2 linked regions of the Drosophila melanogaster genome follow. Changing the gene in region 2 together with the main gene of any one other region gives a genetic interaction. Each region holds a gene or a part of one and is shown on either strand. Other genes may lie near its edges.

The links. Genes that interact genetically often act in the same process or in processes that back each other up.
Region 1: of RpL27A (region 2) and run, changing one enhances a phenotype caused by changing the other (phenotypic enhancement), as found in Drosophila melanogaster (one study listed by BioGRID).

What each region holds. Positions count from the first base shown.
Region 1 is NC_004354.4:20,687,997-20,697,824, forward strand, and holds run (runt), read left to right. Parts: upstream 1-2,673; 5' UTR 2,674-3,016; intron 3,017-6,114; 5' UTR 6,115-6,696; coding exon 6,697-7,405; intron 7,406-7,814; coding exon 7,815-8,638; 3' UTR 8,639-9,325; downstream 9,326-9,828. UniProt on the Drosophila melanogaster protein: Plays a pivotal role in regulating the expression of other pair-rule genes such as eve, ftz, and h.
Region 2 is NT_033779.5:4,455,599-4,461,048, forward strand, and holds RpL27A (ribosomal protein L27A), read right to left. Parts: upstream 2,767-5,450; 5' UTR 2,694-2,766; coding exon 2,691-2,693; intron 2,460-2,690; coding exon 2,142-2,459; intron 2,077-2,141; exon of another isoform or gene 2,005-2,076; intron 1,912-2,004; coding exon 1,783-1,911; 3' UTR 1,777-1,782; intron 1,692-1,776; 3' UTR 1,588-1,691; downstream 1-1,587. Other genes in the region: Gs1l (GS1-like), read right to left, coding at 1-140, 516-734, 788-851; mRpL27 (mitochondrial ribosomal protein L27), read right to left, coding at 3,406-3,609, 3,668-3,831, 3,886-3,934; CG15435 (uncharacterized protein), read left to right, coding at 4,380-4,535, 4,606-5,450.

The DNA of each region.
Region 1 (9,828 bases), on a different chromosome or scaffold from region 2:
TAACGATATGTAAAACGATTCAATATGCAAAGCCCCTTCTGTAGTCTAAGCCACTGCTGAAAAAGGGAGCAAAACACAATGCAGCTGGAAAAAGTGGGGAAAATGGCAGGAAAATGCAAAAAATGTGGAAAAAATCAAGGAAAAGCCGGGGACGAAGGCTCACCAGAGGAGCCAAGTCTCCCTCCGACCATTCAAGCCGACCGATGCCACGCGATACCCTACAACCGAATGGCGCGGCATATGCCACTTCAAAATGGCCGCCAATTATGCGAAATACCCAGCCGGAGTGCGTTTTTTACATATCAAATGGGAACAGATCTAAAAACTGGTTCCTGGCTTCCTGCCCGCTATCCAAAAGGGGTCGCAATCGCATTAAGGACGCACTCCTCGGGCGGACTTAACGGATTTCCAGCTCTAATCTGCACATTGTCTGCCCATCGGAAGTTCGAGGGCATGTGTGTGTGCGGAGCGTGCTGGCTGTATATAGCCGCGATTTCGATATATCTAAGTATGTACAATATATACCCATTTACAAAGCCAAAAGTTGCAGTTCAGAAGTTAGCGCCGGGGAGGCATGGGAAAGCGGGTTTCATAATAACAAAAGGGGGTGGGGAGGCATTATAAAATGGAGGATCGGTTGGTGGGAAAACGTATTTAATCGAGGACAGATCGACCTTCTGCAGAGGGCGGCCGATGCGTTGAGAGCTAACCCGTTTTAGGCATTTCAAAATTCAGTTTTGTACTCAAAACAAAAATAAACAGAATAAAGAAATGATCCCCTATCAACACTTTCAGTAAATTTAAAATAGGAAAAAACAGGCAGGTCTCGAATGAAAAACCATAAATCACATGATTCGTATTGATGGAAAACTTACTATAAATATCAAAAGATAATATAAAACGATGCCGATGATCACGAAAAGTGTCCTTTGATCAAAAACAGCCCAAAACATAACCGAAGAACCTTTGTTGTGCCAACAAATGTAAACAACTTGCACACTCCTCCGACTTTTCTTTACTGTTTCCCGTTTTTTCGGGAGTTTTTTGTAAACAATTTGTAGGGGACATGTGTAACAATCGCCAGAGATCATTAGGATTTCAACGCCGATCGGACAGCTGCATATTTTCCCCCACCAATTTTCGCCTCTTCCATTTTCCCTTGGCTAATTGTCGCGGGCCCAAAAGAAAGTCCATTCAAAATGGTTACGGATCGTTCCTGCCAAAAATCCATTGTTCTTAAGTAAATAGAGAGGGGCCAAGTCAACGAAAACTGAGGAAATATATATGTATGTGCACACAAGGAGCACAAATGATCGCTGAAAAATCCATGACATGTGTCCCAAGCAATCCAAGGATCCTGGGATTCGGCCAAGATGGAGTAGCGCACACGGGCCAAAGAACAGCTGGCAGTCGGAAAAGTGTGTGGAAAACGGTGGAAAGCCAGCCAATGCATGGCCACCTAACCAAAACACAATTTTGTGGGAGTGTCGCAAAGGCAAAGAATAAAAAAAAAAAGAAAACCAAAAAAAAAAAAAAAAGGAAAAGGTAAAAAGAAAAACAGAAGGAAACCCGAAACACACTCATTCCCCGTTTTTCACCACACGAAAGAAAATAAAAAACACCCCCAGAACGCAGAAAAAAAATCACTCAAACAAGCGTTTTCCAATGGAAAGTGGTGAACCGGCTGTGGTGTAATTTTTTCCGAGGGTTGAATGACGTCGCCAGCGGGGGAGGGGGATGGGGAGGAGCGGTCGGAAGCCGCTGCCGACGTCGCTGCCGACGTCGCTGCCGGCAGCACTGCCAGCGCCACAACCAAAACAACAAACCACAATTCACTTACACAACGCCGCAGCCGCAGTCGCAGTCGGTCCGCTGCCGCCGCGCTGCCCGCTTTTCCGCTTTTCCACTGCTGCCTTTTGTAAATAAAGAAGAATGCGCAAATTGGCGGCACAAATTGTTAAATACACTTTTCAGTATATTTTCAAATATATTCATAACGAAATAATAAGTTTGTTTTCCCTAAAAAAAAAAAACAAAACATTTATGCACGTTTTATAATACTTTACAAATATTTGTTGAATAAATTGATTATTGTATTTATTATAAACGCTTTTGAGCTATTAAAAGATATTTAATTTTTTACTACAAAATATGTTTCATGCTTAAATTAAATAATTTAAATTGAATTTCAGTTTCACTTTATACAGATGCTTAGTTAAAACAGTTTTTCGTCGTTATAATCGTTTCAAAAACGCATCAATATTGTTATTGTTCACTTGTCATTTGAAATAGTTAAACTAACCAAACACCGAAGGGTACAAAAATGTTCCTCGATTGGCAGTCGCTTTTGTTTTTTATTCTCCTGTGGCAGTGAGCATTTCCCCTGCGCCACTGGAATTTCCACGGTGCCAGAGTTTTCCGCTCTCTGTCGGTAATTTTTGTTGGGGGTTCTGGGGTTCTCCGTGGTCAATGGCTCCTGGCTCCTGGGATCCCTGTGCATTCAGTATAGCCTGGATAACGGTTGTGCGAGGAGCTCCATGAGGAGAGGCGGAGCCACGATCGGCGCAGCCGTCTCGTTCTCTCCCATAACGATCGCCCTACTAATAAATCATCCCCTCTTGGATGTCAGCTATTTCCGTAGCATCTGCTCGCCAACGGTTGGCCGATCTCTGCGGTTACCCCAGCCCCTCGAGCGTAGGTGCCTCTCTTTCGTTCGCCTGGTGCCGTCTCTTTCTGCGAGGGGGAGGGATCTTGCGCACGTATATGAATAATTCAACTGATCGCCGTGGTGATTGGGGGATGAACGGAGTACTGGTTTGTCCGTTCCTCGGAGGTGCGGAATGCACAGATCGTAGTTCTGATACCCATTCATTTCGAGGAAATTTATTCAGGAACGTCACGGTATTTGCATAAGTGAAATCGTATCTCACAGTTAGCAGCCTGTATCGTAGATTGATTACTAAAATACTTTTCTAAATAATCTGCACTAAGATATAGTTCAGATTGCGTAAGATCGGTAAGTACAGAAGCTTTTAATCGCACTGGAAGTTTTATTTACCGCTCACGACATTTGCATAGATGAAACCGTATCTTACAGATTCAAGTAGCTTGCGTACTAAACTACTGTACAAAAAATATCTGCACTAAGAAATAGTCGGGAGTGATTTTTTATGGTGAAGTACAGAAGTAAATTCAGCTAATTAAGCCTCGCTCTTTTTTGTTTTAAATTAACTGCTCAACAGCAGTGAGAAAAACATTGCATATATTGAGTACATGAATACAGGTTACTGTCGCCTTAATCTCCCATCGGTTAATCCCGCTAAAAAGCGAAGTCCTTTGAGTTTTTGGTGGCCAGGTAGGCACTTTCCGTATCAGATGCTCGTTGCTTATTTTTTGGGAACATATTTTATGGCCCGTGGCGGCGGCTAATCGGCCAAAATATTTGCGGGGCGTGCTGCTTAATCCGGGCGATTGACTTTCATAAGCAAAGGATTAAGATTGCGCGGTTGGACTACCTGTTTTGAGGTGCGATATCAGTACATGCGATGGTACATCTGAGGGCCAGGTACGTCAAAGCCAGTAAACCCATAGTTTTCCCACTTTTTTGGGGCCGCAAAAAAGCATCGGAGGGCCCATAAAAAAAGGGTTGATCCTTTTGGCTGCTGTGGGCTCGTAGCGAGTTCGGTATGGAGATCAGGTACTGCCTGGTGCTCGGTGATCCCTATGAGGCGGTCCTGCGGGTCCTGCGATGCGCGTGCTGCGGCAGCTCCTGTCGCAAATTGCCAAGGAATCGCAGCAGGATCCAAGAAGCGACGACAGGAGCGCTGATTTCCCGGGAAACCGGCAATCGTCAATCGGCCATCGGCAATCGCGTCCTTGTCGCACGCCCGCTAAACCTGCGCTGTCCTGCCATATATCCCGGGGCTATATGGTGTGAAATCGGTGTAGGGACACGAGGTCCTTCGCAGCGAGCGGCCGCGCACGTACAAAAGGCAGCGCTGCCGATACACTGGATTTACTGGAAGTGTGCGTCTATAATGTCCAGCTGAGAGCGGCGCGTTCTCGCGACATTTTGGTTGGTCTTGCCTCGTAGTTCCCCTACCAGAATGGCCATGCTCCCCATTCCTTCTCCTCCTCCTCCACGCGGTGCCTGGAAGAGTCCGCCACCTCGGAAAACTCGCGGGTCCTGTGTGGCCTCGTTTTTAAGGTTGTTTTGGTGGGCCGCAATTTTTTGGCCAGTCAGGCACTTGATTTGCGTTCCACTGCACGAAATGAGTGTTGAAGGAATTGAGAATATTACTTTAAATTGTCAAGTCAAGTGTCAAGTGTTATTCAGCAGCTCTTAAGAATTAATACACAGTTAATCCATTTTACATTAAGTTAATTAAATCGTTCATATTTCGTTTTTGAAGCTAAGTTTCGTAATCTGAATTACTATCTATGTATGTGCTAATCACTTAGCCAATCGCTAAGCAAAATGTACAAATCTTAAAACCTAAGTAAACGTAGATTAGTTTGAAGAGAGTTCAATGTAGGCAGCCAAAGATACTCGATGTTCTTCCAAGTATGACACTTCCGCATCAGATTAAATCCGATCAGCTAGCTAAACCTGATCCAATCAAGGATCGGCGATCGCAGGCAGCGAAAATGGAAATGAAATCGAGCCGGATTGCGCCACACGAACTGAGAGGCGCACAAATATTTACAGGACTAATCGCAGGATAATCGCCCGATCAGCATTAGGATTAAGTTCGATCCCCGGAGAGATCGATGGCACTGCATCTTAGATAGTACTGGAAGTGGACCGGACCTGACAATGGGTGTTAGTTGGACAGATTCAGATCGGAGATTGCAGATCAGTTGATCGAGTTCCGAGTTCCGAGATCGGCGATAAAGTAAATTTTGGGCGGAATCGAGAAAAACATTGAGCAACACTGAGGGATCAGTGTGCCGTAATATGATCAGCCGGGGATTTCTGATTATTTTGAATGAAACACTAATTTTTGGGACATTTTCGAACAATGGGACGCACTGTTATGCACGTGTATATGTTTATTAATTAGATCTGATCTTAAATTACTTAACTTAACTTATTTGAAATGAAATTATATGGATAACGTTGATGCATATTCAAAAAAAAAAAAATTAACACTGGAAATGATTAGTTTTTTGAACAGATTATTAAAACGATTTGTAGCACTAATAATGATGTATTTAAAATATCGTGCTTATGTTGATATATATATTATATATATATATATATATATATTATTATATTTATTATATTTTTTTCGGCATCTTCATCTTAATCGATAAGATACCTTCGAAAGCAATTAAATATATGATAATAAATACAAATATAAAGGAAAATATAATTCATCTTATGATAGTATGGGATAGTGTGTACTATATGTACTATAGATTATTATCATAATTGAAAATCCCATGTTCCAAAATTTTCCAAACTCCACAATCGTATCACCCATGAAATTAAAAGGCTTAAATCCTTTTATCCCAAAGTCATAGTGATATAGCTCTCCTGATGCTTGTGATAATATTTATGATAATTTCGCAACCTGATCCCTCCTCGCACTGACTAATTGAGTCCTCATGTCCTGTCGGCAGGACGCCCCTGGCATCCTAGCTACTCGGGAAAGGGAAGGCAAGGGAACGAGAAGGAGATGGTGAAGGGAACCCCCCGTTTGGCCATGGGTGCCTACCTGTACCACCCGCCCCCGCCCCCCTCGACGAACCCCTCCGCAGGAGGGCCGCCAAAACACGCGCGCCGCTGGAAGTGGAAAATGGGAAACTGTTGCACGGCCGTTTTTCTTTTGGCGTGCGTGGCGAAAAAATAAAATTCAAAGCGAAGAAAAGGAAAACGCACACAATTTCCAGACCGCCCGTGGGGAAAAGCGAGAGAGGAAGCGAGAGCCAGAGCGAGAGAGTGGAAAAGTCTCGGTGTATTTCTTTTTTGAGTTTTTCTTTGGTGCAATTTCCAGGCCATCACTCTCTCTCTCTCTTTCTCGCTCTCGCCCATGCGATTTTCCTTTTTTCCGCTGTTATTTTTTCCTTTTTGGCCACAAGTAACAAGCGACTTCTCTCTCACGTACACAGGCACACTAACACGACAGCCAAACACACACACACACACAAACACACAGAGAGACCGCAATGGAAAAATGGGAAATTTTTTGCTGTGGTTGTTGTTGCGGCGGCAATGGTGGTTGCTCGATATACCGATATATACCTGCCCCGGCACCCTTAAAGGCGCGCCTGTGTGCGTAGGTAGCCAACCACACCACCATACCGCCCAGGATAATGGGCGGGAAAGAGACGGCGCTAGCGCCGTGCAAGTGGGACGGGGCACAAACGCCGGCAGAGCCGTCGACAGAGGCGGCGAGCAGCGCATTCCACTTTAAATACTGCCAACGATCGCAGCAGAGAATCAGTTCACTCAGCGACTTTAGCGTGTCGAGAACGCACAGAGAAATATATCGTTTTCGACTTTGGAAAACAGAAACAGGCTCGAAAGAAGCAGAGTTCGAAATCGCGAAACAATCCAATAACAACAAACAAACGAATTTTTTCCAAGTGACCCCCGATAAAGTGAAGTGCATACCGAGAATCCGCAATAGAAAACCGGCAATTGTCGACAGCCCCAGGATTACGGCTACGATTTCCACATTCGGATACGAGATGCATCTGCCAGCGGGTCCAACGATGGTGGCCAACAACACACAGGTCCTGGCCGCTGCCGCCGCCGCAGCAGCCGCCGCAGCGGCCGCGGTAGCCCAGGGTCCTGGGCCGCAGCAGAGTAGCAATGCCACCACCGCCTCCGCAATCGCCATCAATCCCGCCCAGAGTCTGGCCAACACGAGCACCCACTCGGCCAGCAGCACGGGCAGCTCCACACCAGATCTCAGCACGAACAACACCAGCTCGAGCAGCAACGCCACCACCAGTCCGCAGAACTCCGCCAAGATGCCCAGCTCGATGACCGACATGTTCGCCAGCCTGCACGAGATGCTGCAGGAGTATCACGGCGAGCTGGCCCAGACCGGATCGCCCTCGATCCTCTGCAGCGCCCTGCCCAATCACTGGCGGTCGAACAAGTCGCTGCCCGGAGCCTTCAAGGTGATCGCCCTGGACGACGTGCCCGATGGCACCCTGGTGTCCATCAAGTGCGGCAACGACGAAAACTACTGCGGCGAGCTGAGGAACTGCACCACGACCATGAAGAACCAGGTGGCCAAGTTCAACGATCTGCGCTTCGTGGGACGATCGGGACGCGGCAAGTCCTTCACGCTGACCATCACCATTGCCACCTATCCGGTGCAGATCGCCAGCTACAGCAAAGCCATCAAGGTGACCGTCGACGGGCCACGGGAGCCAAGAAGTAAGCAAAGTGAGTTTTTTAGTTTCCATTATGTTTTCAGTTTAATCCACTCCCAAAGATCCCCAAAAAACCAATTCAGAAACCGTTTGCATATCTTCAATTACAATATTCATAGTTTTGAAAACATTTGCCAACACTAACTAGTTATGATCTTAAATAACTAATGCCATTTTTAAGCTCAACTTTAAATGATCAGTCTGTTTTGAAATGATTGCATTGATCACTTTATCTTAAAGATTTTATCATTATTTTTGCTTATCCTTTTGCAATTCGGTTTTGATACACATATCCAAGGATCTTGAGATCCATTGCCGCCAACCAAATCCCCCACCATCCCCCCAACCTTTTTAAAAACGCATTCCGATGAAATACGAGTTGTGCTTTACTGACTTCCCGCCCTTTTTCTTTATCCTTCCAGGCTATGGCTATCCCCATCCCGGCGCGTTTAACCCGTTCATGCTGAATCCCGCTTGGCTGGATGCGGCGTACATGACCTACGGCTATGCGGACTACTTCCGCCACCAGGCAGCCGCCCAGGCGGCCCAGGTGCATCATCCGGCACTGGCCAAGTCCTCGGCTTCCTCGGTGTCGCCAAATCCCAATCCATCGGTGGCCACCAGCTCCTCGTCGGCGGTTCAGCCATCTGAGTATCCCCATCCGGCGGCAGCAGTGGCAGCGGCGGCGGGACAACCGGCGGCCATGATGCCATCGCCACCGGGAGCGGCGCCTGCCACGCCCTATGCCATTCCGCAGTTCCCATTCAACCATGTGGCCGCCGCAGCCGCCGCCAAGGCAGCCACGCCACACGCCTTCCATCCGTATAACTTTGCCGCGGCAGCTGGCTTGCGGGCCCGCAATGCTGCCCTGCACCACCAGAGCGAGCCGGTCCACGTCAGCCCCGCCTCCTCCAGGCCCTCCAGCTCCTCGCCCACCCAGCAACACGTCCTGCTGAAGCTAAACACCTCCATCGAGACGAGCTCCATCCACGAGCAGTCCGCCAGTGACGGCGACTCCGACGACGAGCAGATCGACGTGGTCAAATCGGAGTTCGACCTGGACAAGAGCCTGGATGTGGCGCCACTTCGCATGCGCTGCGACCTGAAGGCGCCCTCGGCCATGAAGCCGCTCTACCACGAGAGCGGTCCTGGAGCGGTAGCCAACAGCCGCCAGCCGTCGCCGGAAACGACCACCAAGATCAAGAGCGCCGCCGTGCAGCAGAAGACCGTGTGGCGGCCCTACTAGGGCATCTGATCCCCAAAAATCTGGAGGAATGAAGAAAACAAAGTGATATAACAGCGGCGACGCAGAGCGGCAAGCGGGCAAAAATTATAATTGTGATATAGTGTTATAAGTTACGACGCCTCCGGCCGGCAAACGGAGCAGCCTCATCAGTGGGATAGAAGGATAAACGGCAGCGGGAGCAGCAGCATCAACTAGCTGAGCAAAAGTTATGGATAGAGGATAATGGATAATGGATATAGGACAAAGGACCCCAATCCTGGAAATCAGACTCCGGCGAAGTTTTATGCTCGGACTCATAAAATCGTGCGACGAGTTTGAATCACAGGCCCTCGATTTTCACCAGGATTTTTTACAAATCCCAGCAGAAAACACGAAAACTCAAAAACTCAGCCCAAAAAGAAAATACCAAGAAAGCAAACTTTAGTTCAATTTCATTTCAACACAAAACAACAACAACACAATTTGTACATAGCTAACTAGTTGTAACACTCATAACTTTTTTTTTTTGAGAACCTATTTTTTTCGATGGATAATATGCGAATTTAGCTATTTTTAATCATTATGTTTAACTAGTCGTCTAAGCGAGAAATCAATTTTTTTGTCTAGCCATAAGTTTTAGCGCGAAAAGAGATCTAACACAAAAATCGAATTTGAAACAAAACCAAATAAAAAACAAAAATCACACACAAAAAGTATTTACAAAAATATGAAGTATTTGTTTTCATTTCTCAAAAGGTTTTCCCGATACTTTTAGGAAATCCCTTTCAGCTTAACTACGAAACATTTGAAAACTATCCAATCCCTGAATCAAAATGAAAAGCCATTTTTTCTTTTAATTAAAGTTTCCATAATATTTCTTAGATTCTAACTTTTTAGGATTCCACCTTAATGAACTAAAACGCCTATTTTAATTTGGATTTACCCTTTCAAAAAATGAACTTCCTATCACAGTTGGCCAGCAGGCCAGCAGAAATCGAAAATTAAATGATTATAAAATGCGACCGTGAATTGCCTCACATACTGAGAATCTAAATAAAATTATCAGACCAAAACAATTGGAAAACCCAACCGCGAATTAATATTTTCATTTTAACTTATCTCCGAGCATTAGCGATAACAACTATTTGTGGTTCTTAGCTGGGGGGGAAATCCAAGTGTCTGGCACTTTCATCAAATAATCTCTTTTCTAA
Region 2 (5,450 bases):
ACCGCACACCTTGTGGTTAAACAGGGAGAACAGCTCCCGATGTTGGGCCGTCTTCAGCTCGACCATGTCGGCGCCGGAGCTGGTGGCCAAGCAAAAGGGTACCTTGTTGGCGTGCAGGTGACGCAGCAGGCGCTCAGCACCTTGAACGGGGAAGGAAGCACACGATTAACAAACGGCTTTAATCACAGTAGGATAGTAATTGAAGCAGAAGTATTTATAGGGAGAAATGCCGATTAGTTTTCTGGTCGTGGTGCTAACCTTCCAGCAGGGGTACGTTGTGGAATCGCTCGTGGCACATTTGCGAGTACCGCTTGAGATAGTCTCCGGTTGTGATGGGCAGCTGGCACTCGGTGATGGCTATCTCTGCCGAGCGCTGGTCCGTGGTGCCCATTACCCGGAAACGCACTTCCTCCGGATACGGGCGGCCAAAGGAGGCGGCTATTTGCCGGGTGACCTCCTCGTATATCCTCTCCGTGTCTGAAACGTGACGGCAAAGCGAGAACTGGGATTAGTACCTGGCATCAACTGGGCGTTCCGCATCAGGATCTCGGTGTTGGCGCGCTGCTGGCGTGCGTACTCCTCCCACGACATCGGCAGCTCGTAGTGCTCGACCATGAACCGGGCCAGCGGTTCCGTCTGCAGGCCCATGACCTGCTCCTTGATCTCAAAGGGATATGTCTTGCCGTAGGGCTCGAGGATCATTTCGGTGGCCACAGTATAAAGGCGTTCGGTGTCTGTTCGGCAAATAGTTAACACAGAAAGCAGATACAAGCACGGCAGCACTCACCCAGCAGCAGACCGTCCATGTCGAAGACGCAGTGCGTCACCTTTCGCAGCACTTTGTTGGCCATCTCGCAGCAGTTCTCCTCACTCTGGGCTTCCGATTATGTAATGTTACAAAGTCAACAAGTTCGTTTCCTAACTGCAACACAGAGGTCATAATCAAGTTACTTTGTTTTTACTGGAACATCCCCCGCCCACACAGGCATGCCCTCCACTTTGACTACGTTTCCTGGATTCGGTGCCTCTTGTTCGGTCGTGTCCTTGACCCAAGGTCGCCGCACCCCATCACCAACAGCAAGGTCAAAGATGGAAGTTGCCCTCATCCCTACGGCCTTGACCTACACGTAATCTGCTTCCGCTTTTTGCAATATCGGGCGTCTCGTACTTTTCCGCCTCTTCCGAATTTTTCCGCGAGCTTTCTGCCCGCCGCTGTGTGACCGTAGCTGCGAAGGCGCAAAAAGCCTAGTCGAGAATAGTGCTAAAAATGGAGGGATTAACTGATAATGCGCACCGACGCAGTTATACTCTTTAAATTACTATTTATTTTCTTTATATTATTACTGTTCCTCTTAAGTTACAAAAATAGGCATACTTCTAATATTGTCAAACTCATTTAAATTTGCCCTTGTTATTTGATTCAAAATACAAGTTTTCCTTTGCCACAACAAACTAACCATATAGAAATTATTCTTTATAAAAATATAAAGGAAAGTTGTAGCAGGAATAGAAATAGAAAGTTCTAAACAACTTGCGCCAAGCGAGCAGAAAATGAAGCCCCAATACCTTTTAGTAAACACATTTTGTCGGAATAGCAAATACTTGTTTTTCTTTTAAATTTATTAAAAAACAAATACATTTTTGATGGTCGAATGTAGTCCACTTGCTTTTTTCTTCTGTAGAGGAGGAATCTGCAAGGGAAACAATAGCAATTAGGATACTGCACTTCATTGCTTCGCCGACGAATAGGTAAGACAGCTAGACACACAAGCTCACCTTAACTTAGGCGCTCAGCAAGCACACACCGCCGGCCTTCTTGATCTTGTCCTCAGCCTTCTTAGAGAAGTACTTGGCCTTCACGATGACGGGGCGGGCGGGCAGGTGACCACGGCCCAGCAGCTTGTAGTAGCCCTGTGGAGACATGAGAAGGACACCAGAGTCAATACAATGGGTTACAACGGGGTGAGAACGGGTGCACATCCTCTTCAAGAACTGCTGGCTTTGATCTGAAAGGCTGTCCTCTACACGGTGAGAGCAATTGTACGGTAGCATTCTGTCCGCCCATCGCCTTGGGTGTATCTTCATGTTGAAAGCGGCAGCAGAGTTCGCGTAGCTGGATGGGGAATTCGGGCGAAACTTACGAATTTAACCAAGTCGATGACGGGAGCCTTGGTGCTCTTCTCCTTCTCCAGCTCGGCGAACTTCTCGGCTCCGACCAGGGACCAGAGCTTGTCCAGGTTGATCTCGGGCCTGAACTTGTGCTGGCGACGCAGATGGAAGTTCCTCATGCCCACCTTGCCGAAGTAACCAGGATGGTATTTGTCGAAGTTGATGCGGTGATGGTGCATGCCACCAGCGTTACCGCGACCTCCGGGATGCTTGCGGTGCTTGCCGATACGGCCGTGACCGTGGCTCACATGACCACGCAGCTTCCTGGTCTTCTTCCGCTTGATATTCGACTGTAAGGGAGAGCAGAAAAGAAACGTGTTTTCATTGAGCATTCCTCAATCATTTTCACCCACGTGCTGGAGGTTATGTTTACTTGCTCCAGTCGCTATGCTCACTTGGCCATTGCAGTCAGTGGGCAGGCATGCTGCGGCACTTTGAGTGAGCTCTTATTTCTATTCCACATCATTCGCCTGCCCACAAACCACATTTTAGGTGCACCACATTTACCGACGTCCACTCACCATCTTTAAAATTGTAGGAAAGAAAGAAGCGAAGTTGGCTGCGGTTGTAGCAGTGTGACCGCCCGGCGGCGATAACAAAAAATACGAAATACCATCCGGACAGAAAACATATACCCCTAACTACCATTTTAGTCTGAAAAAATATCTCGTACACACCATTATATTTAAGATAAATTTAAGTCTATATGCATTATGAAAATATATAATCATGAATAATTAAACATAATACTGCATATATAAGCGTTAAATTGAATTTCACTACAACAATACTAAATAAGTTTTTACATTCATAGGATAAAACGTGTACTTGATTTAAGCGAAATTCTGTAGGCAGTGCCTATACCGTCATGTGCATAATTTTATAATTTCTTATAGATGATTATGGCTTATTATTAAAGTTCATTTTACAGTTCAATAGCGTTCGGCTTGGCTAAAAAAGGGGGAAGTGTAGTTTTTGTTTTTGAAGTTCGCAATGTAAAAAGTTTTGCGAAATTAATAATCGAAAATGTTGCATTGATATCTGGCTATTAACTGGATTTCTTTTCAAATTCGGGGCGTGTATTCGATAGTTGGTTCAGAGCATTGCTAAATACAGTGCTGTATAACGGTCGTGCTGGCATGTAAATATAACAGGTGCTGTTAAGCACATCGATGTTAATTGCCAAAAATTCAAATATTCACATTTCCATTTGGTTTAAATTTTGTATTTAACAATCTAGATTTCCTCCACTAGACGAAATCGCTGATGCTGATTTTCGGGCACAACATTGAAGAACTTCTTGTAGATGTTCTGGCCCTGGCGACCGGCGTAGTTCCGCTGAATCCAGGTGTGGTCCCAGTTGGGATCGATGGCCTCGCAGGTCACATAAACCTTGCCGTGCTCCATGGCGAAAAGGGTTCCATTGCGGCCAAAGCCCACCTTTCAATGGGAAAAAGTATAAAAATATGCCGGGATAACTCCTTCCTGCGCTACTCACATTCAGGCCCGGATGAAAGCGCGTTGTGAGCTGGGTGGCCAGTATTGTGCCCTCGGAGACGTGGTGCCCATCCTGGACGCGCCATCCGCGATGTTTGGGCCTCGCATGGCCCTTCTTATTCCTCGTACTTCCGCCGGTTTTCTTGCTGGCATTGCGCACGGTGGCTAAATGGGATTGAATTGATTAGAATATGCAACCGGTTCGTGGGAAGTCCTTACTCATCAGCGGCTGGTCTGCCTTCAGGCACTGCATGGTCAGCTTTTGCATGATATTAAACGACATATTTGTGATTTTATTCCAGTAGCGAGGTTTGTTTATGCAATTCCAGATGGGCACCAGTGTGACCCCCGAGTTCAGCTAGATCAAGAGCATTAACAGACTGTTGGCCACTGTTGCCAATTGGTGTTAATAAAATCTAGCTTTGTAAATATATATCAAATAAATCTACGTTTGTATTTTCAACAGTATTATTTATGCTTAAATAAACTATCGTCTTAGTCATTAATATATCTGTCACGTGTTTAGCTAATAATAATTAATATTCAAAAAATTTGCTGTAATCCTGTTATAGCTAACTGGACATCACTGCCGCAAGTGGGTGGACTGTTGAGTTTTGAACCTTCAGTGGTAGGGCAACACTCGCCGGAGTGTTGAAAATTGTCATTGTTTATTTTTTCCGGCATAAGCATTAAGTTTAAGGTTTGCCATAAGTATGACGTCGTGGGGCAATATCTGCCGCATCTGCAGCAGCCCCGCAGACTACGAGATATTCGCCAAGATTCCCACGTATTTGCACGGCTCCACAAACGAGTTTCTCAACTGGCAAAAGCCCATAAACGTTCTGCTGGAGGAGACGACGGGCCTGAAAGTAAGTGACTCCATTCTAAAGTAGCCAGATAAATGTTTATATGAGTGCCTCCTCTTTCGACCGACCGCAGAACTCCACGGACGACGGACTGCCACGCAACATATGTGCGCCGTGCATCTCCTATCTCAAGCATGCCGTCACATTCCGGGAACAGTGCATCAAGAACGCGCTGAGTCTCAAGCTGGCGGAGCTCTACCAGCAGAAGAGGGTCAACGTTTCGGATGCGAACAAGATGGACAAGGAGAGCGCCCTCTTCACGGCGGAGGATCTGAATTATGTGGAGCAGAGGCCAGTGCATAATCTTCTGCTAAACAACAGCGCCAACAAACTGGAGTCATCCAAGGACAAGGTACACAAGCGACTGCTCAATCAGACGACTACCCAGCTAGACGGCAATGCTGAGCAGAAGATCCAGTACTTAAACGTGCTGTTCAACAAGCAGCAGCCTCACAACAGCATGCCCAGGCAACCGCGGGATGGCGAACTGCCATCGAGCAGTGGCCAAAATGACGACGAAGATGACGACTATGCGGTGGCCAGTTCCAGCGACGACAACGAGGAGGCGGCCCTGCTGCGCAAGCACAAGAACTGCTATAACTACACCGAGACCAACTTCGAGGAGGACGATCCCATGGAGCAGGATCAGCTGCAGCTGCGCGACATCAAAGTGAACATACCGGAGCCCATGTGGAAGGAGCGCAAGTGTCCGGCATGCTCCAAACGCTTCATGTTCGAGGACTCGCATCAGTCGCATCTGGACAACTGCGTCGAATACCAGTTCGTCACGTTTGTTACCGAGGTGACCAAGTTGCTCGAGATTAGGCGACAGAAAATGGTCTCGCCGCACGAGTTCATCCGCCGCATGATATTCGCTCTGCACAAAACTTGCGCCTGGCTGCAGGAACATTCCATAGA